4 linked regions of the Saccharomyces cerevisiae S288C genome follow. The protein of the gene in region 1 purifies or fractionates together with the protein of each later gene. This does not show direct contact. Each region holds a gene or a part of one and is shown on either strand. Other genes may lie near its edges.

Region 1 (6,762 bases):
AATGCTATGTTTACTTTATTAAAAAAATAATTAGTTTTCCTCCAAAACGTAAACAAATATAAGTTTGAGAGACAAAGAAAAGAATGAAAGAGTCTTATATATATATAAGTTAGCTGGTAGCATAACCATTTTTCTCGACTTATTTATAAAACATTCGACATACTTCCATATTTCAAGCATTAATATGAGACCTAGAATTTTTTCAAGCTAACTTATGTACATTGTAGTTATATGATGAGGAAAAATGTACACAACAGCTTGTGCTGTTTATTCCCATCGTATGTTGCGGTAATGCAAACAGCAATAGAAAAAAAATTGATATAAGAAGAATATGACTAGTAGCATCACAGTGAAACAGTAACGGTAAATGAATCAGCATGTGAATTTTTCTAGAAAATAAAAAAGAAACTCCGAAGCGGGGAGTCGAACCCCGGTCTCCACGGTGAGAACGTGATGTGATAGCCGTTACACTACATCGGATTGTACCTTGGTGATAGTTTGACCTAAAAGAAACGTTCATTATGTAATGAAGAAAGCCAATTATTCGGTCGCAAATCAAGGTTCTGTTAGGGAATATGATTTTCTTTGACTCTCAATGAGTTCTCTTATGACTATTTAGGGGCTAAATTATTTGTTATGGCAATATTATTAGGTAGGAAAGATACGACTTTACTGAAATTGTTGGAAATACAAAAAGGAGCAGATCATTCCACATAATGATATCATTATTCCCTCTTTCATTTAAAAAATCACCGTTTTTATTTTATTAATTATCAGTCTCTGCATTTTCAGATTCTGTTAAATTTGATAAATGTTTTTCGCCGTTTATAAAGTATTTTTGCATCATGTATGATAATGTATTAGTAATATGAAAACTGGTGTTATTAATAATCAGTGGTCAGGATGTAGTATTAGTTTGGAATAAAAGCAAATCTCCTCATGCTATATAAGAGGAATATAGAAAATACAGGCCAGTTGTTCTTATTAAACATGAACATAATAGTGGGTCTAGCAGTTACTATACATTTAAATTGGCGACTACTATTATTCGTACATTCGACTATAGCAGTATTTCCAATTAATGGATCTTTAACTCAGCTATTATACTGTTTGAGTTCCTCGTTTAACATTTCCCTGTCCAACAGGGACTTAAAAGTATGTAGGGTTTGCATTAATATACAGTAGAGACACTTAAATTGTTACTATAGTAACTCAAGTTACTATTCGTGAGAATATTGACTTATTATTCTTCATGAATAGTCGATTAGTAATCAAATGAAGTAATCAGATGTGCAATGCGTCTTTAATGTTTCAGACTGGAGAATGATACGTAGCTACATAATAATCTGGGTACAGTAAACTCAATGATCTATTACCTGAATGATTAATCTGATGCTTGCAATATAACAATTCATCTCGTGACATTAACCATAAGAATTACTCTCATCATTGCTATATCGGCAAGGTTTAATATGTCCAGTCGGAGTGTATTTTATATCTCTTTCTTTTAGAATAAGAATATCTGCTTTTATTCTTAATCAATACTACAACCTAACTACTAACTATCAACACTGTTAATTACGATTCGCTCCAACAAATTTGGTTTTGTGGATTCTTAAATTCTCGAGAAAAACTTCTAATATATCTTGTATACCAGATACTGTAGCCTTTAGCAACGATAGAATACGAACAGTTCTCTTAAAATTCGCCTATTTCTCATACCGTTGCAGATATAACTAAAGTATTGACATTCAGTGACATCTGGCGCTGATATCATTATTTAACACACGTATGTTTGCGTGGCATTGTCATTTTTAAGAGCAGAGAAAGAAACAATGAGCTACTTGAGTGTGACAAGTTGAAAAGTCCACCAATTTCACGTTGAATTAGGATTCATATATGAAATTCTAGTCATTAATTAGAATTGTAAGTTTCTGAGCTTTTTTTTCCTAGTAAATTAAACTTGTCTAATACATCCAGTTGTGATGTATTCTATATCTCAGTTCTACAGTAGCACGAAGTTTCCCGGCCTCTCTATTCAATAAATTCAGCTATCGCTGATTATCAACAGCAGCAACGAATAAAGCATAAAAGAACAGAAAAATTCTTCTACAAATTTATTCTGTAAAGATTCAGCTTCTTTCGTGAATTTCTAAGTTCATGAGGGGAATTTAAGTATGGCGTTTCTTCGTAGCGCCATTGTCTTGAGCCAAAATGGAACTCTAAAAATTTTCACGACATTTTACTAGTCAGTAAAGTGAGCATATACATATAAGAAGAAATTTCAAAAGGTAAAAAATGGAGCAACTTCCAGCTCATTATCTTTTCAATGTTGTCGATGCCATAGTTGGATTATGAAATCTCATATTCATAACCACAACGCGTTTTTTTCCTTTTAAGGCACTACAGACTCCATTCTCACAAGTTTGTCAAAAGCACGAGCGCGATGAGAATTAAAGTCAGATCTGGTTAATGATTCTGGTACAACAGCAGAAACAAATCGAGTACAAATTTAATCTTATTCTGTCGCAATAGTTGACTTTCTTTTCTGGCCTCTCGAACAAAAAGCATGACCGTTTCCAACATTGGGGGGGAAGAACGACTAATAATTTTACCAGACGATTATGAAACTTCGAAAACTATAAACACTTTTACACTGCCGCCACCTTCCAATATTACATCCAAACCTCGTATCGAGCTCTTCGAAAATATTAATGGAAAACTTTACGAAATAAGATCTTTTCAATTCGGCAAAGGGCCCTCGTATTCACATGAGGAAGATTTGGCAAATGATAAATATCACTATACTAAGGAAAATCACCCGATCAAATCAACTTTCATTGTAAATACGTCTGATCCCACCGATGGTTATGTTTTTAACTCAAGCAAAATACACTTTTGTTCTTTATACGATATTGCTTTTAGTTTGATTGGATTTTACTATAGAAACAGTGTTTCAGCAGATGAACAAGATTACTCCAATTCAAGTGATACTGGTGAAAACCAAAAAAGCAACAGCAAAACCAATGAGAAATTTCTTACGGTGCGTGATTACCATGATTTCTTAACGGATAACCATGACAAGAATTGGGAAAACATTTCTTTAAGTCGTCTCAAGAGTGGCTTAGCAAAAGTTAGTGAAACCATTGAGGAAGCTGGTGACGTCTATTACAAGATCACATCTGCAATGATAACACAATTTTTGTTAGGCAAGGTATCAAAAATTGTAGAAAACTTTCCTCCAAGTATCCCTACACTTAAAAATGCCCCAACGGAAATAAAACAGTGCTACAAGGTAGTTATGGCTACAAATCTTTTAGTTTCCCTGATTCCAAGGGCGGCCTACCATAATTTACTTACCTTTTCACCTACAATGGATAGTGGTTGCCTAAATCCGGATATAAAAGCTAGCTTCATAGAACTCGAAAACTACGAGACTACGAACGAATTACAGAATGCTGAAAGAGAATTACTGATGAAAAGTGCCATGAATGTAGGCCTAAATTCGAATGGCAGGGTTTCATTGCCAGTGAAAAAAGTTACCAAAAAAATAGTTCAAAATAAAAAACCAAAAGTAGCCATAGGAAAAGGGGCCATTGATGGATTTTTTAAACGTAAGTAGCTAGTATCATAATTAAACAGCAATTTGAATGCTATAACTCGGTGGTGATGACCTCAGTGCGAGATAATTACACAATATTGTCACTACCAACGAATGGGCTACCTTTTTTTTCCTTTCTCGAATTCAAGAAAAAATTAACAACTTTTCCCTCGATGATGTTAACAAATGTCTGAATATAAAGGAATAGGAAACGGTTGCTAGATTGTATTTACCTTACCAACTTTCAAGTTTTTTTTCTAACTTCCTAACTTTCAGTCTCGATACATTAATCAACAGGACGTAGTGATTGCAAAATTGTTCAGAATATACATTAGATTAAAAGACAAATGGCCAAAGACATTGAGATATCCGCATCCGAGTCAAAATTTATCTTAGAAGCACTGAGACAGAATTATAGGTTGGACGGCCGCTCCTTTGATCAATTTCGTGACGTGGAAATAACGTTTGGTAAAGAATTTGGTGATGTTAGCGTAAAAATGGGCAACACCAAAGTTCACTGCAGGATTAGTTGTCAAATAGCACAACCATACGAAGACAGGCCATTTGAAGGATTATTTGTAATATCTACAGAAATATCTCCTATGGCTGGTTCTCAATTTGAAAATGGAAATATCACGGGGGAAGATGAAGTTTTATGTTCAAGAATAATTGAAAAATCTGTTAGGCGGTCGGGCGCATTGGACGTGGAAGGACTATGTATCGTTGCTGGCAGTAAATGCTGGGCTGTGAGAGCTGATGTACATTTCCTGGATTGTGATGGTGGATTTATTGACGCTTCGTGTATTGCCGTCATGGCAGGATTGATGCATTTTAAGAAACCAGATATAACTGTCCATGGCGAGCAGATCATTGTTCATCCTGTTAATGAAAGAGAGCCAGTTCCACTAGGTATACTGCATATTCCAATATGTGTAACTTTTTCTTTCTTCAATCCTCAAGACACCGAGGAAAACATAAAAGGTGAGACTAACTCAGAAATTTCCATCATTGATGCAACATTGAAAGAGGAACTACTGCGAGATGGTGTATTGACGGTTACGCTAAACAAAAACCGTGAAGTGGTACAAGTTTCCAAAGCGGGTGGTTTACCAATGGATGCGTTGACGCTAATGAAATGTTGTCACGAGGCTTACAGCATTATTGAGAAAATAACTGATCAAATACTGCAGCTTTTAAAGGAGGATTCAGAAAAGAGAAACAAGTATGCAGCCATGCTTACATCTGAAAATGCCCGCGAGATCTAATATTAACGAAAAAACTGAAATAAAAGCAACGCTTATACATATACATGCATGCATTAATATATGTATATATATCGGTACGTATAGATTGTAAAATTACACTTACTACTAAAGGCAGTATGAAAGACGCCCGCAGTTTTTTTCCTACTGTTTTCTTGACTGCGGTGTTCAAAAACATAAAAATCATTAAATTACTATAAAACAAACGCATACTGCGAAGAAAAAAGGCTCGGCTATAAATGCATATGAGAAAATATTATCTTTTGCCTCCCTGCTTAATTTCTGAAGGCATGTACTATCCAAAAGAAAAATCTTGAAAGAAAACAAATCCCATTATTCTTATTATTAAAACAAAAACTTCGTCATCGTCATCACATAAAAAAGACCTACCATTGTCAAACTGTACAACAGCAACACAATAATAATGACGATGATGAGTTCCTCGAGAAACCCTAGAACGGCGTTATAACACTGTTTGAGGGTATTACTTTTTCCACTACTCTCGTGGCGCGGAAGACCTGCTTCCAAATCTACTGTGTAATCAATACACTTAACCTCCTCTCTCTCCCCTTGTGCGTCAGAAAACTCTGCCTGTCTTATTTCCTTCTCCTGTTGTCCTATTTTCAGTACATCATCGATGCACCTCGAGGTATCTTCCATCTTGGTGTCAGGTTGAAAAACAATTGCTGTCGTTTTTTTTTAGTTCAACAAGTTTGGTATGGCAGTTGACAAAAATTCTATTTGGGCTGCAATGAATCAAAGTGTACAAACATCTGGTGAAATCGTTCAAGTTTTATACTGAATAGAAAACAAAAGATAAGGTTCTGCGCATCGCAAATAATAAATTACTAGCGCGCCATACAAGAGACGAGTCTATTTTTTTCCGCCAGACGACACAAAAAAGAACCCGTGCAAATATTATATCCCACCTCCCACGTGTCAGCGAAGCTCGGAACTGCGTAACATTATAGGGCAGAACATCCAAATGGAAAAAGTAATAACACTATTTGCGATGTTAGTGGCCATCCTGCGTCGTTCGGATAGGTTAGGACGGGCTGATGAATATACGGGTGTAATAAAAATGACACCACGTTATCAGGGTTTTCATGACAGTGCAAACTAATATATGTCATATTATTTTAAGTGGGCTCATTTATTTACATGTTTATTTTTTATTGTAATTTGCGTATGTATCATTACACGCTAATGCACATTTGCACGTTCTAATAATGAAGGTCGTCCGTCATAAGCAATTAGGAAATGAGAAATCTTGATTTTATCGCTAAAAAACGCTTTCTCTTGTGGCAGGAGCAGATCTCTTACATATGTAGTTATTTAGTCGCTTCTAAGAGCCAGATCAGGTGCGTGGATTCATATAATATCCCTTTTTCAATAACAACGTTATAAGGAAACGTTGGGTAAAAGAATATTAATTACTGAGTGGAACTTTTTCTCATTGTTCTGTGTATATACAATGTTGTATCTCAAAATGAGATATGTCAGTATGACAATACGTCATCCTAAACGTTCATAAAACACATATGAAACAACCTTATAACAAAACGAACAACATGAGATAAAACACGGCCTTCCCTAGCTGAACTACCCAAACGTATAAATGCTTGAACAATCAGTTTAGATCCGAGATTCCGCGCTTCCACCACTTAGTATGATTCATATTTTATATAATACATAAGATAAGTAACATTCCGTGAATTAATCTGATAAACCGTTTTGACAACTGGTTACTTCCCTAAGACTGTTTATATCAGGATTGTCAAGACACTCCGGTATTACTCGAGCCCGTAATACAACATACAAAAGTAACTCTTATTTACAAAAAAATCTCTTACTTTGTAGCATCTAGATCATCATTCGTGGGTTCTGAGCAGTAGGAAG
Region 2 (6,723 bases), on another chromosome or scaffold:
TAAGCTTACAGATTGGGGATTGGCTACTACAGATAAGACGTCTATGGATAGAAATGTCGGTAGTGAAAGATATATGTCCCCTGAACTTTTTGATAGTAATTTGGATATCAAGGAAAGAAAGGAACCTTATGACTGTGCCAAAGTGGATTTATGGGCTATGGGAATTGTGTTTCTTAATATTGTTTTCCATAAGAATCCTTTTAGTATTGCCAATCAATCCGACAAGTCATTCTGTTATTTTGCTGCTAATAGAGAAGCGTTGTTTGATGTATTTTCGACAATGGCTTATGATTTCTTTCAAGTATTAAGGTATAGTTTAACCATCGATCCGGCTAATAGAGACTTGAAAATGATGAGAACTGAACTACAGAACTTATCTGAGTATACATTAGACGATGAATACTATAATAACTTGGATGAAGGATATGAAGAAACTATGATTGACGGTTTGCCACCTCAGCCTGTTCCTCCATCTTCAGCACCGGTATCATTACCTACTCCTATTTCATCTAGTAACAAACAACATATGCCTGAATTTAAAAAGGATTTCAATTTCAATAATGTGAATGAAAGGAAACGGTCAGATGTCTCTCAAAATCAAAATGTTGCAAGCGGCTTCTTTAAAAAACCGTCTACACAACAACAGAAATTTTTCAACCAGGGTTATAATACAACACTATCTACTCATGAAAGGGCTAAATCTGCTCCTAAGTTCAAATTTAAGAAGCGCAATAAGTACGGAAGAACTGATAATCAATTTTCCAAACCAGTCAATATCGAAGATAGAAAGAAAAGTAAAATTTTGAAAAAATCAAGGAAGCCTCTTGGCATACCAACGCCTAATACACACATGAATAATTTTTTCCACGATTACAAAGCAAGGGATGAATTCAACACCAGAGATTTTTTCACTCCTCCAAGTGTCCAGCACAGGTATATGGAGGGGTTTTCCAACAACAACAATAAACAGTACAGACAGAATCGTAATTACAACAATAATAACAACAACAGCAATAACAATCATGGAAGTAATTATAATAATTTTAACAATGGTAATAGCTATATAAAGGGTTGGAACAAAAACTTTAACAAATACAGAAGACCAAGTTCCTCCAGTTATACCGGTAAGTCACCACTTTCAAGGTACAACATGAGCTATAATCATAACAACAATAGTTCTATAAATGGTTATGCAAGGCGTGGTTCTACGACTACAGTTCAACATTCACCAGGCGCTTATATTCCACCAAATGCCAGGAACCATCACGTAAGCCCAACGAATCAGTTTTTAAGAGTTCCGCAATCAACTGCTCCTGATATCTCTACCGTTTTAGGTGGGAAGCCTTCATACCAGGAACACTACACTCAGGATAGTATGGATTCTGAGGGCGATCACGATTCAGACGACGTTTTATTCACTCTTGAAGAAGGTGATCATGATTTCGTCAATGGTATGGACAACTTATCTATAAATGATCACTTACCGCATACAACGGTAGGTAGCCATAATGAAGTATTTGTTCACGCAAGCACTAATCACAATAACAATGGCAACAACAACCATATCGACACCAATAGTACCACTAATCAATATCATAGACAATATATTCCACCTCCTTTGACAACATCATTGCATATCAACAATAACAATAATGAATCTAATGAACTACCAGATTTACTAAAATCACCAGCATCATCTGAAGCACATTTAAATTTATCTTCTGGACCAATTGATCCAATTTTAACAGGTAATATTGGCAATCGATATTCACACTCATCTGACTCTAAGGAGCTAGAGCAGGAGCGTAGACTCAGTATGGAACAAAAATTTAAAAATGGGGTTTATGTTCCACCTCATCATAGGAAGAGTTTCAACTTGGGAACACAGGTACCTCCTATGAATATGAAGACAAGTAACGAGGCCACGTTGTCAGTTTCGCATAATTCTGTTAATTTTGGTGGATCTTACAATTCCAGGCGTTCCAGTGCTAATGAATCTAACCCACTGCATATGAATAAAGCACTCGAGAAGTTGTCCTCTTCACCAGGAGCTAAAAGCTCCTTCGTTGGCTTCCCTAAACCTTTATTACCTCGTAATCATTCAAGCACTACGATTGCGTTGCAAAATGAAGACGTATTCGCAGACTCTAACAATGACGCCATAATTTTCGAAGACGAAGAATACGAAGGAGAAAGTGACAAGATGGCACATGGCAAAATGGAAGGTGGTGACAACGAATCCTCGTCAACCTCCCCGGATGAAAGGCAAATTTTCGGTCCTTATGAAATTTATGCTCAAACTTTCGCTGGCTCCACTCACGATAAAAAATTAGGAGCTGGCAGGAAGACAAGTATTCAGGATGAAATGGTCGGATCGTTAGAACAATACAAGAATAATTGGTTAATTTTACAGCAACAAGACTAAGCGCACCTATTCCCTCTGTTATGTTGCTTATTATTTTCTTCCCTTCTGAAATGCATTTTTAGCTTTTTTCATCAATTTGGCATCATCGTGCATTTCAACTTCTAAGTATGAATGCTTTTTGGTAGTTAAGCTTGAAGGGTTTTATGAAAACTCTCTTTTCTTAGATATTTCTACAGTCTTATATAACGTCAATTCACACAAAAGTGTTCACTGCCAACTACAAGAATAGCATATACACATATTAGTTACTTCAACGAGTTCTTATTGTTATTATAAAAGTATATAAACCCTATAAGCATTTTTGCATTTGTGCTCTCACATCACCTTTAATCATTTTTTCACTCATGTACCAGTATACGTCGACCTCTACTTCTTCCCTCCTTTCTTTTTTCCAACTTTATCCAATCTTTTACTTTTCTTACTACTTGCTTTCCTTATATGATCGGTACTGTCAATAATCTTAGTCGTTGTACTCTCTGCCAGTTCATCGTTTTCAAATTTCGTATGCTTCCCTTGAAAGTTGCTCCTGCTTATAGAGGGCTCGAATTGGTTTTTATTACCGTCCAAAACATTGGAAATGATATTCTTAGCTTTTTCTTGCTCTGCCTGCGATTTTTCGTTGGATTTGGTTATCCTATTATCGTATTGTTTAGCCTTATCCATGTATGATTTTACTCTTTTCAGTTCGCCGAGTATAGGAGACATATCTTTGACGCCTAGGACTTTCATATTAGCAAACATCAGAGAACTCAATACATACGCGTAACGATTAATTAGTTCTAATTTAGCCCTCTCATCAGATAATAGCAACAGCTGTTCATCCAGTGACTTCGACGTTAGTTTCTCTATTTCTGGTTTCAGCTCGTCTAACGCCTTTGAAAAACTCCTAACGTATGGTTTTATCTTTTCGATATCTTCCATTACTGATCTAATACTCCGTTACGTTGCTAGATATATGTTTATATTAATCGATTTCTACTGTAGGCTGTTAACCAGTTTTTTCTTCCACAGACTACAGAAGGCACAGTCCATAACCATCTGCCTTAGCTCATCGCTGAAAAACTGCACGAGAATTCGTGAAACGTGACATGTTGGGTACCCGCATGAATAGAAAATATGCTAGTAACGACTCTTCTTTACATTCCCATTGCTGGTGTATGTACGCTGATATGAAAATGCTTGCCCAATAAATACCAAGGTTATGACGTTGCCGCTTTGTATTGTCTTCTAATCTAAAAATCTTTCCACGCCAGTAGTGGCTGGCTTTATGCGGCAAAGATCGCTGTTTCTCCTTTTAGAAGTAAATTTCCACGGAGTATGACGGCCGGACGGACCGGCGTAGTTCATTCTAGTCTTAGGGGTCCTTTACCTTGGCAAAAGCATTTCTAAGTGAAACCCTTGCAGGAGTAGAATTGGGCGCAAAGGTCCCTCGTTGGGATCTGTCCTCCTGGGGGACGGTAGGTGGTTGAATGATTCTGCCTTCTTGAAATACGAAATATCAATCTGTTTCTGCTGGCTCACGGTATCTACTGTAATTTCGTTGCTATTGCCATTGATATTAAATTATTGCTACTGTGTGTGGTTCTTACTCTCCATGGATAGTGTTGAAAATATACAGTAATGACTAGAGATTCAAAAAAGAAGCACCATTGGGGCACTGCCTTTTTAAGGACAATTGGAGTCAAACGTAAGCACAAGAAGGATCGTAATTTTTTAAATAATACTACAGGAGAGAATGTTAGCACAACAGCCAGTGCTGAGCGATTCAGAAGAGTAGGAGGAAATCCGGATATTCCGTCTTTACTTAAGCCCGAAACTTTCACGGAATCTCCTGCAAAAGGATCTCAAAAGGCGGCGGCATCTTCCTTAGCGCATAGCCAAGGTGTATTCAATATTCCAATCGTTATAGATCCCATGGAAACAAACAGGCTTGAAAAGACAAACACGAATTTGACGGCAGGTTCATTGAAGGGTCGCTTTCAGGATGGTAACTCGAATTCAAATTCTGTACCAAGTTTATCCGTCCAGGCATTAGAAAAGGAAAAACTGCAAAGTGGGAAACGAGAAGGGTCCAGCAATCAAGCTGAGGAAAAAACTCCAGACGGCCATGATGAACATACCGCCTTTGAAACGTTTCTTTCCTTCGCCCATAATGCCGTAAGCCACATTCCCAAAATAAACGTACAAGACGCTGACAATGGAACAATTTCCAGGAATGAACCAAAGGACAGGAAAAAAAACTCATCTAATATATCAGGAGCCCTTTCCGAAAATAGCACTAACAATAAAAACACTTCATCGACAAAAGAAAGCGATGGCCCATTTTTGAAAAATTTAGACAATATTCTTGCAGCATCCAAATCATCAACTCCAAGTAACCAACAGCTTAATACAACGGAAGCAGGAAGTAAAAGTAAACCATCATCATTATCTAGATTGGCATTTGGAAATTTGAAAGGCCATATTCACTCGAACTCACATTCAAGCTCTAATGCTATCTCAGGAGATGATACATCATTAGATGACACTAGAAAGATGACGGATGATATGGCCAGGAAAGTGGTTTTCGAACCCATCAGGCACTCTCATGATAAGCCTACCCCCGGAGTTGGAAACTTAAAATTAGAGCACTTCGATGATTCTCAAGCTACTCTTGAAGGGTTAGAGGCAATGTCAGCAGAATCGCTGCCAGAGGCGGATCACCTTGACAGCAGAGGCCCGGTACAACAAAGTAATTTGGAAAGAAAAACTGTTCCTTCCAAATGGTCAGTAGTCAGTTCCTCTACAACAGATGGAGTCAAGCCTAGAAGAAGAGCCAAATCAATGATTAGCGCAATGGCAGATAAACAAAACACCAGTAGCGACGTTTTACAAGATTGTAAAAAAAGATTGTCCTTCAACTCCTCTAATGGCCTAACGAATAACGACCCGGAGTATGAAGACCGCGAACCTAGGGAAATGTCCAAGAAGTTTCTTAACAGGAGGTCATTTTCCCCCGGAAGCATTAGCATGGGAATGAAAGTACTACCTTCGACGGCACTGAAATATTCGCTAAACAAAGTAAAAAACAGCACTGATATTGCATCGACCATCATACCGAGACCTAGTATGTCCAACGGTCGTCCATCTTCGGGATTGAGGAGAAGTTCTAGTAAAAGCTTTTCATCTACCCCCGTAAATATCATTGAGCCATCGGAGGAAAATGGTAGACAATCCAGCATTAGAATAAAGGGAGTCGAATACGCGAGCGAAAAGAAAGATGCAGAATTCCATGCAATATTCAAGGACTCTGGTGTCAGCCCCAATGAAAGGTTGATTTTAGACCATAGTTGTGCTTTGTCAAGAGATATCCTTTTGCAAGGCAGAATGTATATTTCTGATCAACATATTGGATTTTATTCGAACATCCTTGGTTGGGTAAGTACCGTTTTTATACCGTTCAAGACAATCGTTCAAATAGAGAAAAGGGCCACAGCAGGAATATTCCCTAATGGGATCGTTATAGACACTTTACACACAAAATACACGTTTGCCTCTTTCACTTCAAGAGATGCTACATATGATTTAATTACTGAAGTATGGAATCAAATAATTTTGGGAAAGAGGTTTCGTAGCAACAGTAATAACACTAATAGCAGCTCCAATTCTATCAGTGATGATGAAAATGACGATTACGATGATGATTACGATGATTATGGAGATGATGATGACGATCTTTACGATAATAGCAATAACATATCTGATTCTACCGACATGACATCAAGCGTCAGCATAGGAAAGCCGGAAGATTTACCCATGCCTCTACAAACAGACACCCCTTATGGAACAGGAATTCCACCACTAGGTCCAAAAATTCACTCACCCACAGAAACAGTATACAAACCAGCGCCCAATGAAAAATTAGTTAACGAATCAACAATACACGCTTCGTTAGGGCGGGTTGTCAATATATTATTCGGGAAAGATGTCAGTTATATTATGGCCATTTTAAAAGCGCAAAAGAATAGTGATATTTCGCCAATCCCTGTTCTCGTTGATTCACCCACGGTTTCTGAAGGTAAAAAGAGAGATTATTCCTACGTAAAAACAACACCAGGTGCCATTGGACCCGGTAAAACTAAATGCATGATAACTGAAACCATTCAACACTTTAACTTAGAGGAGTATGTTCAAGTCTTGCAAACAACAAAAACTCCGGATGTTCCTTCTGGAAATTCATTTTATGTGAGAACAGTTTATCTTTTATCATGGGCAAACAACAATGAAACAAAACTAAAACTGTATGTCTCTGTTGAATG
Region 3 (11,701 bases), on another chromosome or scaffold:
TTACTGATGAGACAACAAAATTCCGTTGGGTTTATCCATTACACGACCGTCGCGAGGACTCTATCCTCGATGTTTTTACTACGATACTAGCTTTTATTAAAAACCAGTTTCAGGCCAGTGTCTTGGTTATACAAATGGACCGTGGTTCTGAGTATACTAACAGAACTCTCCATAAATTCCTTGAAAAAAATGGTATAACTCCATGCTATACAACCACAGCGGATTCCCGAGCACATGGAGTCGCTGAACGGCTAAACCGTACCTTATTAGATGACTGCCGTACTCAACTGCAATGTAGTGGTTTACCGAACCATTTATGGTTCTCTGCAATCGAATTTTCTACTATTGTGAGAAATTCACTAGCTTCACCTAAAAGCAAAAAATCTGCAAGACAACATGCTGGCTTGGCAGGACTTGATATCAGTACTTTGTTACCTTTCGGTCAACCTGTTATCGTCAATGATCACAACCCTAACTCCAAAATACATCCTCGTGGCATCCCAGGCTACGCTCTACATCCGTCTCGAAACTCTTATGGATATATCATCTATCTTCCATCCTTAAAGAAGACAGTAGATACAACTAACTATGTTATTCTTCAGGGCAAGGAATCCAGATTAGATCAATTCAATTACGACGCACTCACTTTCGATGAAGACTTAAACCGTTTAACTGCTTCATATCAATCGTTCATTGCGTCAAATGAGATCCAACAATCCAATGATCTTAACATAGAATCAGACCATGACTTTCAATCTGATATTGAACTATATCCTGAGCAACCGAGAAATGTCCTTTCAAAAGCTGTGAGTCCAACCGATTCCACACCCCCGTCAACTCATACTGAAGATTCGAAACGTGTTTCTAAAACCAATATTCGCGCACCCAGAGAAGTTGACCCCAACATATCTGAATCTAATATTCTTCCATCTAAGAAGAGATCTAGCACCCCCCAAATTTCCGATATCGAGAGTACCGATTCGGGTGGTATGCATAGATTAGATGTTCCTTTACTTGCTCCCATGTCCCAATCTAACACACATGAGTCGTCGTACGCCAGTAAATCTAAAGATTTCAGACACTCAGACTCGTACAGTGACAATGAGACTAATCATACAAACGTACCAATATCCAGTACGGGTGGTACCAATAATAAAACTGTTCCGCAGACAAGCGAACAGGAGACTGAGAAAAGGATTATACACCGTTCACCTTCGATCGATACTTCCTCATCAGAAAGTAATTCACTACACCACGTCGTTCCTATCAAAACGTCAGATACCTGTCCTAAGGAGAATACAGAGGAATCTATAATTGCTGATCTTCCACTTCCCGATCTGCCTCCAGAACCTCCTACCGAATTATCAGACTCCTTTAAGGAACTTCCACCGATCAATTCTCGTCAAACTAATTCCAGTTTGGGTGGTATTGGTGACTCTAATGCCTATACTACTATCAACAGTAAGAAAAGATCATTAGAAGATAATGAAACTGAAATTAAGGTATCACGAGACACATGGAATACTAAGAATATGCGTAGTTTAGAACCTCCGAGATCGAAGAAACGAATTCACCTGATTGCAGCTGTAAAAGCAGTAAAATCAATCAAACCAATACGAACAACCTTACGATACGATGAGGCAATCACCTATAATAAAGATATTAAAGAAAAAGAAAAATATATCGAGGCATACCACAAAGAAGTCAATCAACTGTTGAAGATGAAAACTTGGGACACTGACAAATATTATGACAGAAAAGAAATAGACCCTAAAAGAGTAATAAATTCAATGTTTATCTTCAACAGGAAACGTGACGGTACTCATAAAGCTAGATTTGTTGCAAGAGGTGATATTCAGCATCCTGACACTTACGACTCAGGCATGCAATCCAATACCGTACATCACTATGCATTAATGACATCCCTGTCACTTGCATTAGACAATAACTACCATATTACACAATTAGACATATCTTCGGCATATTTGTATGCAGACATCAAAGAAGAATTATACATAAGACCTCCACCACATTTAGGAATGAATGATAAGTTGATACGTTTGAAGAAATCACTTTATGGATTGAAACAAAGTGGAGCGAACTGGTACGAAACTATCAAATCATACCTGATAAAACAATGTGGTATGGAAGAAGTTCGTGGATGGTCATGCGTATTTAAAAACAGTCAAGTGACAATTTGTTTATTCGTAGATGATATGGTATTGTTTAGCAAAAATCTAAATTCAAACAAAAGAATTATAGACAAGCTTAAGATGCAATACGACACCAAGATTATAAATCTAGGCGAAAGTGATGAGGAAATTCAATATGACATTCTTGGCTTGGAAATCAAATACCAAAGAGGTAAATACATGAAATTGGGTATGGAAAACTCATTAACTGAAAAAATACCCAAACTAAACGTACCTTTGAACCCAAAAGGAAGGAAACTTAGCGCTCCAGGTCAACCAGGTCTATATATAGACCAGCAAGAACTAGAGCTAGAAGAAGATGATTACAAAATGAAGGTACATGAAATGCAAAAGCTGATAGGTCTAGCATCATATGTTGGATATAAATTTAGATTTGACCTATTATACTACATCAACACACTTGCACAACATATACTATTTCCGTCCAAGCAAGTGTTAGATATGACATATGAATTGATACAGTTCATATGGAATACGAGAGATAAGCAATTAATATGGCACAAAAGCAAACCTGTTAAGCCAACAAATAAATTAGTTGTTATAAGCGATGCCTCGTATGGTAACCAACCGTATTATAAATCACAAATTGGCAACATATATTTACTTAATGGAAAAGTAATTGGAGGAAAGTCCACCAAGGCTTCATTAACATGTACTTCAACCACGGAAGCAGAAATACACGCAATAAGTGAATCTGTCCCATTATTAAATAATCTAAGTTACCTGATACAAGAACTCGACAAGAAACCAATTACCAAAGGATTACTAACCGACAGTAAATCTACAATCAGTATAATTATATCCAATAATGAAGAGAAATTTAGAAACAGATTTTTTGGTACTAAAGCAATGAGACTGAGAGATGAAGTATCAGGAAATCATCTGCACGTATGCTATATCGAAACCAAAAAGAATATTGCAGACGTAATGACCAAACCTCTTCCGATAAAAACATTCAAACTATTAACAAACAAATGGATTCATTAGATCTATTACATTATGGGTGGTATGTTGGAATAAAAATCCACTATCGTCTATCAACTAATAGTTATATTATCAATATATTATCATATACGGTGTTAAGATGATGACATAAGTTATGAGAAGCTGTCATCGAAGTTAGAGGAAGCTGAAGTGCAAGGATTGATAATGTAATAGGATAATGAAACATATAAAACGGAATGAGGAATAATCGTAATATTAGTATGTAGAAATATAGATTCCATTTTGAGGATTCCTATATCCTTGAGGAGAACTTCTAGTATATTCTGTATACCTAATATTATAGCCTTTATCAACAATGGAATCCCAACAATTATCTCAACATTCCCCCATTTCTCAGGAATCCCAACAGTTATGACAAAATTTATCAGAATTCCCAGTTTCATACATGTTTGATATTTATAGATAATTCATAATGACGGTTTATTTATTCTGGTAAGTTATGATATCATGTAAAACGAGGCAACTTGGCCGAGTGGTTAAGGCGAAAGATTAGAAATCTTTTGGGCTTTGCCCGCGCAGGTTCGAGTCCTGCAGTTGTCGTTATTTTTTGGACAGTAATAAGAGTACGTAAAGTCAATGGAATACGTGGTAAAAGCATCACGTTTATGTTTTATTAAAAGATTGGCATAGAACTTGGCCTTCTTCGTAACGACTTATCACCCGTTAAAAGTATGCTATATGAGTTATATCGGCTGCAGTGTATTTCTTCCTGGCTCATTTAAAGCTAATGAAATGTACCTCTCGCTTCATTTTCTAAGGTAGTGTTTTGAAGGCGTATGTATGTAATGTCACCCGGACTTTTGTAAAGAAAAAATTTTGAGTTTATGTCTTTCCGAAAATTTTTACCGATGAGCATTGAAAAGTTGCATTATTAAATTTGGTAGCGTAAAAACCACCGATTAAACAGGTAGTGTAGGTTGTAAATTAAAGATCATATTCTTTCCTGTTTACATCCAGTTTTACGTTGTTGGCCGTATTGGTATATTTCTAGTATCAGTTACACATATTTCATTGAAAGTATGGCTAAACAAAGACAAACTACTAAATCGTCTAAGCGATATAGATATTCTTCCTTCAAGGCTAGGATTGACGATTTGAAGATTGAACCGGCTAGAAATTTGGAAAAAAGGGTACATGATTATGTCGAGTCGTCGCATTTTCTCGCTTCCTTTGATCAGTGGAAAGAAATTAATTTAAGTGCCAAATTTACGGAGTTTGCAGCGGAAATTGAGCATGATGTTCAAACATTACCCCAAATACTATATCATGATAAAAAGATTTTTAATTCTTTGGTTTCATTCATTAACTTTCACGATGAGTTTTCTTTGCAACCGCTTCTGGACCTCTTGGCTCAATTTTGTCATGATTTAGGTCCAGATTTTCTTAAATTTTATGAAGAAGCTATCAAAACTTTAATAAATCTGTTAGACGCTGCTATAGAATTTGAGTCATCTAATGTTTTTGAGTGGGGTTTCAACTGTTTGGCTTATATTTTCAAGTATCTCTCGAAATTTTTGGTTAAAAAACTGGTACTCACATGTGATCTTTTAATTCCACTATTGTCTCATTCTAAGGAATATCTTTCAAGATTTTCAGCAGAAGCATTATCTTTTTTAGTAAGAAAGTGTCCTGTTTCTAACTTGCGCGAGTTTGTTAGATCAGTTTTTGAAAAGTTAGAGGGAGATGATGAGCAAACTAACCTCTACGAAGGGCTTCTGATATTATTCACAGAATCCATGACGTCAACGCAAGAAACTCTGCATTCGAAAGCTAAAGCTATCATGAGCGTTCTTTTGCATGAAGCTTTGACCAAATCATCCCCGGAAAGATCTGTTTCATTGCTCTCAGATATTTGGATGAACATTAGTAAGTACGCCTCAATCGAAAGTTTACTTCCAGTCTATGAAGTTATGTATCAGGATTTTAACGATTCTCTCGATGCCACCAATATCGATAGAATATTAAAAGTATTGACAACAATTGTCTTCTCGGAAAGTGGTAGAAAAATTCCTGATTGGAATAAAATTACTATCCTAATTGAAAGAATAATGAGTCAAAGTGAAAATTGTGCTTCGCTTTCACAGGATAAAGTGGCTTTCCTATTTGCTTTATTTATTCGTAACAGTGACGTGAAAACTTTAACATTATTCCACCAAAAACTTTTTAACTACGCTTTAACAAATATATCTGACTGTTTCCTTGAATTCTTTCAATTTGCTTTAAGGCTAAGCTATGAAAGAGTATTTTCATTCAATGGATTAAAATTCCTACAGTTATTTTTAAAGAAAAATTGGCAATCACAAGGAAAAAAAATTGCACTTTTTTTTCTAGAAGTAGATGATAAGCCTGAACTGCAGAAAGTACGGGAAGTAAATTTCCCAGAAGAATTTATTTTATCTATCAGAGATTTTTTTGTCACAGCAGAAATTAATGATTCGAATGACCTTTTCGAAATATATTGGCGAGCTATAATTTTTAAATATTCGAAATTACAGAATACAGAAATTATTATCCCATTGCTTGAACGTATCTTTTCAACTTTTGCATCACCAGATAATTTTACGAAAGATATGGTCGGTACACTCTTAAAAATATATCGTAAAGAAGACGACGCTTCAGGGAATAATCTATTAAAGACTATTCTGGATAATTACGAAAACTATAAAGAAAGTTTAAACTTTTTAAGAGGATGGAACAAGTTAGTGAGTAATCTTCATCCTTCAGAAAGCTTAAAAGGACTAATGTCACACTATCCAAGTCTACTCCTTAGCTTGACAGATAATTTTATGTTGCCTGATGGGAAGATTCGTTATGAAACTTTAGAATTAATGAAGACATTAATGATTTTGCAGGGTATGCAAGTACCTGACCTCCTTTCTTCATGTATGGTTATCGAGGAAATACCTCTTACACTACAAAATGCCAGAGATTTAACCATTAGAATCAAGAATGTTGGTGCCGAATTCGGAAAAACCAAAACAGACAAGCTAGTATCCTCTTTCTTTCTCAAATACTTATTTGGCCTTCTTACCGTTAGATTCTCTCCAGTTTGGACTGGTGTTTTTGACACTCTTCCTAATGTTTACACAAAAGATGAAGCCCTCGTTTGGAAACTTGTGCTATCATTCATTAAACTTCCTGATGAAAATCAAAATTTGGATTACTACCAGCCTCTTCTTGAAGATGGTGCAAACAAAGTTCTGTGGGATTCGAGTGTAGTGAGGTTAAGGGACACTATTGATACGTTCTCACATATTTGGTCAAAGTATTCTACTCAAAATACGAGCATTATATCTACTACTATTGAAAGAAGGGGGAACACCACCTACCCAATTTTAATTAGAAATCAGGCTCTAAAAGTTATGCTATCGATTCCTCAAGTTGCTGAAAATCACTTCGTCGACATCGCACCTTTTGTTTATAATGACTTCAAGACTTACAAAGATGAAGAGGATATGGAAAATGAACGTGTTATTACTGGTTCATGGACAGAAGTTGATAGAAACGTGTTTTTAAAGACTTTAAGCAAGTTCAAAAATATAAAGAATGTTTATAGTGCAACAGAATTGCACGATCATCTGATGGTACTGTTGGGTAGCCGTAATACAGACGTTCAGAAGCTTGCGTTGGACGCACTTCTTGCATACAAAAATCCAACGTTGAATAAATATAGAGATAATTTGAAAAATCTACTAGATGACACCTTATTCAAGGACGAGATTACGACTTTTTTAACCGAAAATGGGTCGCAGTCTATCAAGGCTGAGGACGAAAAGGTAGTCATGCCTTATGTCCTTAGAATTTTCTTCGGTCGAGCACAAGTCCCCCCAACTAGTGGACAGAAAAGAAGCCGCAAAATAGCTGTCATTTCAGTTTTGCCAAATTTTAAGAAGCCATATATTAATGATTTTTTGAGTTTGGCTAGTGAAAGGCTGGATTATAATTATTTTTTTGGGAACAGCCATCAAATAAATAGCTCAAAGGCTACCTTGAAAACTATCAGACGGATGACTGGTTTCGTTAACATTGTAAATTCTACTCTGTCTGTATTAAGAACAAATTTTCCTTTGCATACTAATTCAGTGCTGCAGCCGTTGATCTATTCAATTGCTATGGCATACTATGTCTTAGATACTGAGAGCACAGAGGAGGTACATTTAAGAAAGATGGCAAGTAATTTAAGGCAACAAGGTCTAAAATGTTTAAGTAGTGTCTTTGAATTTGTTGGAAATACATTTGATTGGTCTACTTCTATGGAAGATATTTACGCCGTTGTAGTTAAGCCTCGTATTTCACATTTTTCGGATGAAAACTTACAACAACCCTCCTCTTTACTAAGACTTTTCCTTTATTGGGCACACAATCCATCTCTGTACCAGTTTTTGTATTACGATGAATTTGCAACTGCCACTGCATTGATGGACACCATATCAAACCAACACGTTAAGGAAGCTGTTATTGGCCCAATAATTGAAGCGGCGGACTCAATTATTAGAAATCCAGTAAATGATGATCACTACGTAGATTTGGTGACTCTCATCTGCACATCATGTCTGAAAATACTTCCTTCGCTATATGTCAAACTTTCTGACTCAAACTCGATTTCCACATTTTTGAATTTGCTAGTTAGTATCACTGAGATGGGATTTATTCAAGATGATCATGTTAGAAGTCGTTTAATTAGTTCATTAATATCAATATTAAAAGGAAAGCTAAAAAAACTGCAGGAAAATGATACCCAAAAAATTTTGAAAATATTAAAGCTGATAGTTTTCAACTACAATTGTTCTTGGAGTGATATTGAAGAACTATACACTACCATATCTTCTTTGTTCAAAACATTTGACGAGCGAAACCTCAGGGTTTCCTTGACAGAGCTCTTCATAGAACTCGGTAGAAAAGTTCCTGAATTAGAAAGTATTTCGAAATTGGTTGCGGACTTGAATTCATACTCCTCATCACGTATGCATGAATATGATTTTCCTAGAATTTTATCAACTTTCAAGGGGTTAATTGAAGATGGTTATAAGTCCTACAGTGAGTTAGAGTGGTTACCTCTGTTGTTCACCTTTTTACATTTTATCAATAATAAGGAAGAACTTGCGTTAAGAACAAACGCATCCCACGCTATAATGAAGTTTATTGACTTCATTAACGAAAAGCCTAATCTTAATGAAGCTTCAAAATCGATTTCTATGCTGAAGGATATACTTTTACCCAATATAAGGATTGGCCTCAGAGACTCCCTAGAAGAGGTACAAAGTGAGTATGTATCAGTGCTATCATATATGGTAAAAAACACGAAATATTTCACCGACTTCGAAGATATGGCCATTTTACTGTACAATGGTGATGAAGAAGCAGATTTTTTTACAAACGTTAATCATATTCAGCTTCATCGTCGTCAGAGAGCCATTAAAAGACTAGGTGAACATGCTCATCAACTCAAAGATAACAGTATATCCCATTATTTAATTCCAATGATCGAACATTATGTCTTTTCGGATGATGAAAGATACAGAAATATTGGAAATGAGACCCAAATAGCCATCGGAGGGTTGGCGCAGCACATGAGTTGGAATCAATACAAAGCTCTTCTTAGAAGGTACATTTCTATGTTGAAAACCAAGCCTAACCAAATGAAGCAAGCCGTACAATTAATTGTTCAACTTTCTGTTCCACTTAGAGAAACTCTTCGTATCGTAAGAGATGGGGCTGAGTCGAAACTTACTTTGAGCAAATTTCCTTCCAACTTAGATGAACCCAGTAATTTTATTAAGCAAGAATTGTATCCGACTCTTTCGAAAATTCTTGGCACTAGAGATGACGAAACTATAATTGAAAGAATGCCTATTGCGGAGGCATTAGTTAATATTGTTTTAGGGCTCACAAATGATGATATTACTAATTTCCTCCCTAGTATTCTAACAAATATTTGCCAAGTTTTGAGAAGTAAATCCGAAGAATTAAGAGATGCAGTAAGAGTAACCTTGGGTAAAATCAGTATTATCTTGGGCGCTGAGTATCTTGTCTTTGTGATAAAGGAATTAATGGCTACATTAAAACGTGGTTCTCAAATTCATGTGTTAAGTTACACTGTCCACTACATATTAAAGAGTATGCACGGAGTCTTAAAACACTCCGATTTGGATACCTCGTCCAGTATGATTGTTAAGATTATAATGGAAAATATCTTTGGGTTCGCTGGTGAAGAAAAAGACTCTGAGAATTATCATACAAAAGTGAAAGAAATTAAGAGTAATAAAAGCTATGATGCTGGTGAAATTCTCGCCTCAAACATCAGCCTGACAGAATTTGGAACATTACTCTCTCCTGTGAAGGCTTTGTTGATGGTCAGAATTAATCTAAGAAATCAAAACAAACTGAGTGAATTATTGAGACGATATTTGTTGGGTTTAAATCATAATAGTGACTCTGAGTCAGAAAGTATCCTCAAGTTCTGCCATCAGCTTTTCCAGGAATCAGAAATGAGTAATTCCCCTCAAATACCAAAGAAAAAAGTGAAAGACCAAGTAGATGAAAAAGAAGACTTTTTCTTGGTAAATTTGGAGTCGAAATCTTATACCATCAACTCAAACAGTTTGCTTTTGAACAGCACTTTACAAAAATTTGCTTTAGACTTACTTAGGAACGTAATAACGAGACACCGCTCCTTTTTAACTGTCTCGCACCTAGAGGGTTTTATTCCATTTTTGAGAGATTCGTTACTTTCGGAAAATGAAGGTGTGGTAATTAGTACTTTACGTATCCTGATTACATTAATTAGGCTAGATTTTTCCGATGAATCTAGTGAAATCTTCAAAAACTGTGCGAGGAAGGTACTAAATATTATCAAGGTTTCTCCTTCAACTTCAAGCGAATTATGCCAAATGGGTTTAAAGTTTCTTTCTGCCTTTATACGTCACACAGATTCAACATTAAAGGATACTGCTTTGAGTTATGTTCTAGGGAGGGTCTTACCAGATTTAAATGAACCAAGCAGACAAGGCCTTGCTTTTAATTTCCTAAAAGCACTTGTTTCAAAACATATCATGCTTCCAGAACTCTATGACATTGCGGATACTACTAGGGAAATCATGGTCACAAACCACTCAAAAGAAATTAGGGATGTATCCAGGAGCGTTTACTACCAATTTTTAATGGAATATGACCAAAGTAAGGGTCGTTTAGAAAAGCAGTTCAAATTTATGGTCGACAATTTACAGTATCCTACCGAGTCCGGCCGTCAGTCCGTAATGGAATTGATCAATTTGATTATTACAAAGGCTAATCCTGCTTTACTATCCAAATTATCATCTTCCTTCTTTCTGGCGCTAGTTAATGTTTCTTTTAATGATGATGCGCCAAGATGCCGTGAGATGGCTTCAGTATTGATTTCCACCATGCTTCCAAAGCTTGAAAATAAGGACCTTGAAATTGTTGAAAAATATATAGCCGCTTGGCTAAAACAGGTTGATAATGCATCCTTTTTAAATCTTGGGTTGAGAACTTATAAGGTCTACTTGAAAAGTATTGGGTTTGAACATACTATTGAGCTAGACGAGCTTGCCATCAAGCGTATAAGGTACATTTTGAGCGATACGTCGGTAGGATCAGAACATCAGTGGGATTTGGTATACTCAGCTTTAAATACGTTCTCATCTTATATGGAAGCAACAGAGAGCGTTTATAAACATGGTTTCAAAGACATATGGGATGGTATTATCACATGTCTCTTGTATCCGCACTCATGGGTCCGTCAATCGGCGGCAAATCTTGTTCATCAACTCATAGCCAATAAGGATAAGCTGGAGATATCATTAACCAATCTGGAAATTCAAACCATTGCAACAAGAATTCTTCACCAATTAGGTGCGCCTTCTATTCCGGAGAATCTTGCGAACGTCTCAATAAAAACATTAGTTAATATCAGTATCCTATGGAAGGAGCAACGCACGCCGTTCATAATGGATGTATCAAAACAAACTGGAGAGGATCTAAAATATACTACCGCCATTGATTATATGGTAACTCGAATTGGTGGTATTATCAGGTCGGATGAACATCGTATGGATTCTTTTATGTCGAAGAAGGCGTGTATTCAGTTATTGGCCTTATTAGTTCAAGTTCTGGACGAAGACGAAGTAATTGCAGAAGGGGAAAAGATATTATTGCCGCTATATGGTTATTTAGAAACATATTACTCAAGAGCAGTTGATGAAGAACAGGAAGAACTACGCACTCTTTCAAACGAATGTTTAAAAATACTGGAAGACAAATTGCAAGTATCCGATTTTACAAAAATATACACTGCTGTCAAACAGACCGTATTAGAAAGAAGAAAGGAAAGGAGATCTAAAAGGGCAATTCTGGCTGTTAACGCTCCACAAATTTCTGCTGATAAAAAGTTGAGAAAGCATGCGAGATCGAGGGAAAAGAGAAAGCATGAAAAGGATGAAAATGGGTATTATCAAAGACGTAAC
Region 4 (6,478 bases), on another chromosome or scaffold:
AAGAATATGAATTGAGAGACCATTGTTCTTCTCAATGTCACGAATGGTTTGTTCGAGTACTTGATAGATATCAGCACCATCTTTCAGAATTTTCCTGGCACATGGATGACTCTCAAATAAATGTTCAATTAATTTACCAGTACACGACTGGCCCGCAGCATAAACAGAAAAATCACCCCTGTTGTCAAGTATAGTATCAAAAGGTCCCCATACTCCAGGAATTCTAGTATCAGAGATGGTAGTACCATACATGTAGCAGCTAGAAGTCCCGGCTATCATAAACAATGATGTTTCCAAATGAGGAGAAGCAACTGCGAACCAACTTGCATAACTGTCAATACAACTGCGAACTACAGTTGTCGAAATGTGCTTATTGGCAACAAGACTAGTGGTTCCAATGCTTACATTAGATGGTAAATTTATAATGTTTTTGTAAAATGAAGATGACCAGCCAGATACCTCTCCATCATTGCCTATACCATTAAGATTTTCTCTTCCCAAAAGTCCTTCAATGTTCCATTCATACAAGCGGCTCAGTTCATAAGCAATGTATTGATGAAGATCAAAGATATGAAAATGTTTGTCTCGTAAATGAGAGTATTCATCTAAAAAGTACTTCAATTTGGGGACGCCCATTTCGGGTACAAATTTTCCTCCCAAATAATCCAAAAGCTGTTGTGGACATTGCATATTTAGCCATTGACATTCGTTTACGGCAGAAGAGTCCATCCAAAATATGACATTATCTTCATTTGGATACGGTATCAGCATGTTACTTGTGCGATCCCTTTCGAAAATAGCTAATGAACACGTTGCAGAAACACCACATGACTTTACCTCATATTCTCTAATGTTCAGTTTCTGAAGACACTTTTGAAGGGCTTTAATTATTTCAGTTGATTTTTGCCAGAATTTCCATGACTTCTTTGAAGAATCCTGGTAGTATGGGACTGGTTCCTGCGCCATTTCTAACAGCGCATCATTGTAGTAATTATATACACCTATTCTAGCACTTGATGAACCTACATCAATTCCGATGCCAACTTGCAGACTGCTATTCATGATTTCACCTATATAACACGTTGGTTTCTCATTTAAAGTTACCTTTATTGAAAAAAATAAACTGATACATTTTTAAATTTCAGCTTACTAAGGTGCTAGAAAGCCGAACTACGCTATGAATTAATATTGAATTTATTGCGAAGTTTAAAATTATTGTAAAATATCTATTTGTACATATGTATCTTCTCAGAAAAAATAGCGTATATCTATGTAGTTATTTTTGTTTTTCTCTTCCTCTCATCAGGAGGACCGTCTTATATTTTGCTGCTTTATAGAACCATCTAGCAAAAAAAAAAACCAGAGCAAACCAAATGCTCAGTATATACCTCTAGGTAACTCTAACGTCTTGGACCTCTTCCTCTTCTTGTCATTTCAGGTAGCTTAAATGGAACTTTCATAGTGGCAATTTTATAAGAAGCTGCAGTACTTTTTGGAATGCCAAAAGCCTCAGCTTGAGCCACTGTGGCACCTTTGACAATAGCACCAAGTACCCTGAACAAACTGACAACTTTGGAAGGTTTCAAGTTCAATTCGTGTGCTAAGGGTGTGATTTCAACAATGAAGTTATCCAAATGCATTATGATTGCCAAGATGTAGCATAAGATTTTATCTTCATTTTGTGGGTCAATGAAATAGGAGCGATCCTTTGATCTTCCAAACTGTCCAGGCTTTATCACGGTAAATCTGCTTAAGATACCATCTACCAAGATTTCAGGAGGACTGTTCAACCTTTCTAACAACTTCGTCTTGTTATTCACGCGTCTATTTTCGTATACGCCCAGTAATAGTGATAAGTAGTATAGTAGCTGTAATTTGGTCATTTGTGAAGGTTGTGTCAAAGAGTCCAATTTCTTTGCCACATACTTGGAATTGTTTTGGTATGGGAACAATTCCAACTTCTTTTCCTTATCCGCTTCTTTCAGAATTGATGAAACGCGAATAAACTGTAATTCCTTCTTTGGTATTATACTTTCAATTGGGTAAATTTGTTCTACATCAGTGGCATCGATATTGGCTAATGGAGTAGGTCTATCGTTGGAAGTAATTTCATCCAATTGAGCCCGAGTTGGTAAATCCTTAGATGCAGTTCTCACGGAATCCACAATGTCAATAGCAGAATCAGTCAACTTATCAGAGTCAATACGGTTTCTTTCTAGATCTGCAATAGCTTTTTTAGCCTTTTTAGTACCAAACGCTTCACCCAACGCATTTCTCAAAGCAGATGGACGAGTATCACTCTTACTTTTTATTTTTGGACCCCTTAGATTCTTGCTTGACTTGGATACAACTTTGGAAACAAGTACGGGAGCCTTGTAGAGTTGAATACTTTTCTTTTCTGGATTAAATAGGCCCACAACATACTGGTTCGAAGCTTGGGAAGAAGAATCAGTATAACCTTCGTATTCTAGTCTCTCGTTTTCACCGTGTAATACGAATTCGTCCTTTTCAGACTTCTTTTTTTTGTATAAGTCGAACGTAGTGTCACTGGGAGCACGGAAGCCCTTGAAGAAACTTCCCACGGCAACAGAGGGTTGATCTTGAACACTTTCAATTTCGATTTCAGAAACAGACCTTTTCACGGACATTACTAGATAAAGTGCAAAAGGTTGATAACGACTGCAATAGTGGTAGCAACTTAAAAAGCCCTCCTAATATCATTAGTGTTCATGCAAGAATACTTACTATTAAAAATGAGATGGAAAATTTCAGCTCATCGCAATAAAAAATTTTCAGCGCGGGTGACCGCAAACATTTTTCATCGCGAAGAGTCAAAAGACATTATCAATTGAAAAGAACAGTATTGCTAATTGGCGTCGGTGATTAGGTGTCCGGTCAAGTTCTTATTCTATGCATGAATATCTTCATAAAAGCCCTGAGAAGATATACTATAATGTCTACGCCGAAGATTGTGCAGCCCAAATGGAAGGTTCCAACGCCACAAGCTAAAGAAACTGTGTTGAAGTTGTACAACAGTTTAACAAGATCTAAGGTTGAATTCATTCCGCAATCTGGCAATAGAGGTGTCACTTGGTACTCTTGCGGTCCTACTGTTTACGATGCCTCCCATATGGGTCATGCCAGAAACTATGTCTCTATTGATATCAATAGAAGAATTATTCAAGATTATTTTGGTTACGACGTGCAATTTGTGCAAAATGTTACTGATATCGACGATAAAATTATTTTGAGAGCTAGACAAAACTATTTATTTGACAATTTTGTCAAAGAAAATGATACCAAATTCAACGCCACTGTTGTTGACAAGGTCAAAACCGCACTTTTCCAATATATCAACAAAAATTTTACTATTCAAGGCAGCGAGATCAAAACTATCGAAGAATTTGAAACTTGGTTATCGAATGCTGATACTGAAACTTTAAAATTGGAGAATCCTAAATTCCCTATGCATGTCACCGCAGTTCAAAATGCTATTGAATCAATCACTAAGGGCGATTCCATGGACGCAGAAGTTGCCTTTGAAAAAGTCAAGGACGTTACGGTTCCTCTATTGGATAAAGAATTGGGCTCTACCATTAGCAATCCAGAGATTTTCCGCCAACTTCCAGCTTACTGGGAACAGAAATTCAATGATGACATGTTATCATTAAACGTGCTACCTCCCACCGTTACAACTCGTGTTTCTGAGTACGTTCCAGAAATTATTGACTTTGTTCAAAAAATTATTGATAATGGTTACGCATATGCCACTTCCGACGGTTCCGTGTACTTTGATACTTTAAAATTTGACAAATCCCCAAATCATGACTATGCTAAATGCCAGCCATGGAATAAGGGCCAGTTAGACTTAATTAATGATGGTGAAGGGTCCTTAAGCAACTTTGCTGATAACGGAAAAAAGTCGAATAATGATTTTGCTTTATGGAAGGCTTCCAAGGCAGGTGAACCTGAGTGGGAATCACCATGGGGTAAGGGTAGACCAGGATGGCATATTGAATGTTCTGTGATGGCCAGTGATATCCTAGGCTCTAACATCGATATTCATTCAGGTGGCATCGATTTGGCCTTTCCTCACCATGATAACGAATTGGCTCAATCCGAGGCTCGCTTCGACAATCAACAGTGGATCAACTATTTCTTACATACGGGCCATTTACATATTGAGGGTCAAAAAATGTCTAAATCCTTAAAGAATTTCATTACCATTCAAGAAGCTTTGAAAAAATTCTCACCGCGCCAATTAAGATTGGCTTTTGCCTCAGTACAATGGAACAATCAATTGGATTTCAAGGAATCTTTGATCCATGAAGTAAAGTCATTTGAAAACTCCATGAACAATTTTTTTAAGACTATTAGAGCATTGAAGAACGATGCAGCTTCTGCAGGTCATATCTCTAAAAAGTTTAGTCCCTTAGAGAAAGAATTATTGGCTGATTTTGTTGAAAGTGAATCGAAAGTCCATTCGGCGTTCTGTGATAATTTATCCACACCTGTTGCTTTGAAGACACTGAGCGAATTAGTGACCAAGTCAAACACATACATTACCACTGCAGGTGCTGCTTTAAAAATTGAGCCCTTGATTGCTATCTGTAGCTACATCACCAAAATCTTAAGAATAATTGGATTTCCATCCCGTCCTGACAATTTGGGTTGGGCAGCCCAAGCTGGCTCCAACGATGGATCCCTAGGCTCATTGGAAGACACTGTTATGCCATATGTTAAGTGTTTATCCACATTTAGAGATGATGTACGTTCCTTAGCTATCAAGAAAGCCGAACCCAAGGAATTCTTGCAATTAACGGATAAAATTAGAAACGAAGATTTGCTAAACTTGAATGTTGCCTTGGATGATAGGAATGGACAATCTGCCTTGATCAAATTTTTGACTAACGATGAAAAATTGGAAATTGTCAAGCTAAACGAGGAGAAACATGCCAACGAACTAGCAAAGAAACAAAAGAAATTGGAACAGCAGAAATTAAGAGAGCAGAAGGAAAACGAGAGGAAGCAGAAAGCTCAAATTAAACCACAAGATATGTTCAAGGATGTCACATTGTACAGTGCTTGGGACGAGCAAGGCCTTCCAACAAAGGACAAAGACGGTAATGATATCACCAAGAGTATGACCAAGAAGTTGAAGAAGCAATGGGAACAACAAAAGAAGCTACATGAAGAGTACTTTGGTGAAGACAAATAGAATACTCGTGGCTTCGTTATGTGTGCAACTATTCAAAAGTACGTATATATGTATATACCATCTTTTTTTACGTTAAAATAGTGAAAAAGGAAAGGAGGAAAGAAAAAACTAATATAATTAATTGTATTATATATGTACTTTTCATTTTGGAATGTGAAAAAATTCCAGGCGGAAAAAATTGAAAAAATCAAACACTGCGCTTGTGAGAAAAGGGAAGAAAAGCATCCTAATGATTAGGCGCTTGATGTTGACGACAAACATTTCGAAGCATAACACTGCCAATGATGAGTGACCAAGAAAACGAGAACGAGCAGTATGTAGGATTGAGCTCTGCAGGGCATGAAATGGAAAAATAAAGCAACCCATTATACTAACAATATGCACTTAGCAAGTGCGGTAGATGGTCAGTGCAAAAGCATTCTTAGGATTGGCTAAATGCGAAGAAGAAGTGGACGCTATTGAACGTGAGGTAGAATTATACAGATTGAACAAAATGAAGCCTGTTTATGAAAAGAGGGACGCGTATATTGACGAAATTGCAGAGTTCTGGAAAATTGTGCTTTCACAACACGTTAGTTTTGCGAATTACATAAGGGCTTCAGATTTTAAATACATTGACACTATAGATAAGATCAAAGTAGAATGGCTGGCATTGGAGTCTGAAATGTACGACACTAGAGATTTTAGTATAACATTCCATTTCCATGGAATTGAGGGAGACTTCAAAGAGCAGCAAGTCACCAAGGTGTTCCAAATCAAAAAAGGCAAAGATGACCAAGAAGACGGGATACTGACTAGTGAGCCCGTTCCAATTGAGTGGCCCCAGAGTTACGACTCGATAAACCCGGACTTGATCAAAGACAAACGCAGTCCAGAGGGTAAAAAAAAGTACAGACAGGGAATGAAAACCATATTTGGCTGGTTCAGATGGACCGGCCTAAAACCCGGGAAGGAGTTCCCGCACGGCGACTCATTGGCGTCATTGTTCAGTGAAGAGATCTACCCTTTTTGTGTGAAGTACTATGCTGAGGCCCAGAGGGACTTGGAAGACGAAGAAGGAGAATCCGGGTTAAGCGCAGATGGCGACAGCGAGGATGACGATGGCAGTCTCGGTGAGGTGGACTTGCCACTATCCGACGAGGAACCAAGCTCTAAGAAAAGGAAAGTTTAGTAGTCTAGGTCCGGAGCGGGCTTGGACAACGGTTTCCCTCGTTGCGACATTGCTCTTTTTTTTGTTGAGTCTGGAGTTCTTCTTTGTTG

What was found.
Region 2: the proteins of RRP45 (region 1) and LRP1 purify together in Saccharomyces cerevisiae (affinity purification with mass spectrometry; 4 studies listed by BioGRID). This does not show direct contact.
Region 3: the proteins of RRP45 (region 1) and UTP20 purify together in Saccharomyces cerevisiae (affinity purification with mass spectrometry; 4 studies listed by BioGRID). This does not show direct contact.
Region 4: the proteins of RRP45 (region 1) and RPA49 purify together in Saccharomyces cerevisiae (affinity purification with mass spectrometry, with the first as the bait; 2 studies listed by BioGRID). This does not show direct contact.

What each region holds. Positions count from the first base shown.
Region 1 is NC_001136.10:1,016,799-1,023,560, forward strand, and holds RRP45 (exosome non-catalytic core subunit RRP45), read left to right. Parts: upstream 1-3,948; coding exon 3,949-4,866; downstream 4,867-6,762. Other genes in the region: RNH202 (Rnh202p), read left to right, coding at 2,570-3,622; PHM6 (Phm6p), read right to left, coding at 5,209-5,523; MRX10 (Mrx10p), read right to left, coding at 6,713-6,762. UniProt on the Saccharomyces cerevisiae protein: Non-catalytic component of the RNA exosome complex which has 3'->5' exoribonuclease activity and participates in a multitude of cellular RNA processing and degradation events.
Region 2 is NC_001140.6:264,161-270,883, reverse strand, and holds LRP1 (Lrp1p), read right to left. Parts: upstream 3,347-6,723; coding exon 2,792-3,346; downstream 1-2,791. Other genes in the region: putative serine/threonine protein kinase KSP1, read left to right, coding at 1-2,425; LAM4 (Lam4p), read left to right, coding at 4,046-6,723. UniProt on the Saccharomyces cerevisiae protein: Required for exosome-dependent processing of pre-rRNA and small nucleolar RNA (snRNA) precursors. Involved in processing of 35S pre-rRNA at the A0, A1 and A2 sites. Required for activity of RRP6 in 7S pre-rRNA processing.
Region 3 is NC_001134.8:223,399-235,099, forward strand, and holds the start of UTP20 (Utp20p), read left to right. Parts: upstream 1-4,237; coding exon 4,238-11,701. UniProt on the Saccharomyces cerevisiae protein: Involved in nucleolar processing of pre-18S ribosomal RNA and ribosome assembly.
Region 4 is NC_001146.8:179,961-186,438, forward strand, and holds RPA49 (DNA-directed RNA polymerase I subunit RPA49), read right to left. Parts: upstream 2,649-6,478; coding exon 1,401-2,648; downstream 1-1,400. Other genes in the region: MPA43 (Mpa43p), read right to left, coding at 1-1,062; CRS1 (cysteine--tRNA ligase), read left to right, coding at 2,915-5,218; VPS75 (Vps75p), read left to right, coding at 5,500-5,531, 5,627-6,389; U2-type spliceosomal complex subunit CWC25, read right to left, coding at 6,386-6,478. UniProt on the Saccharomyces cerevisiae protein: DNA-dependent RNA polymerases catalyze the transcription of DNA into RNA using the four ribonucleoside triphosphates as substrates. Component of RNA polymerase I (Pol I) which synthesizes ribosomal RNA precursors.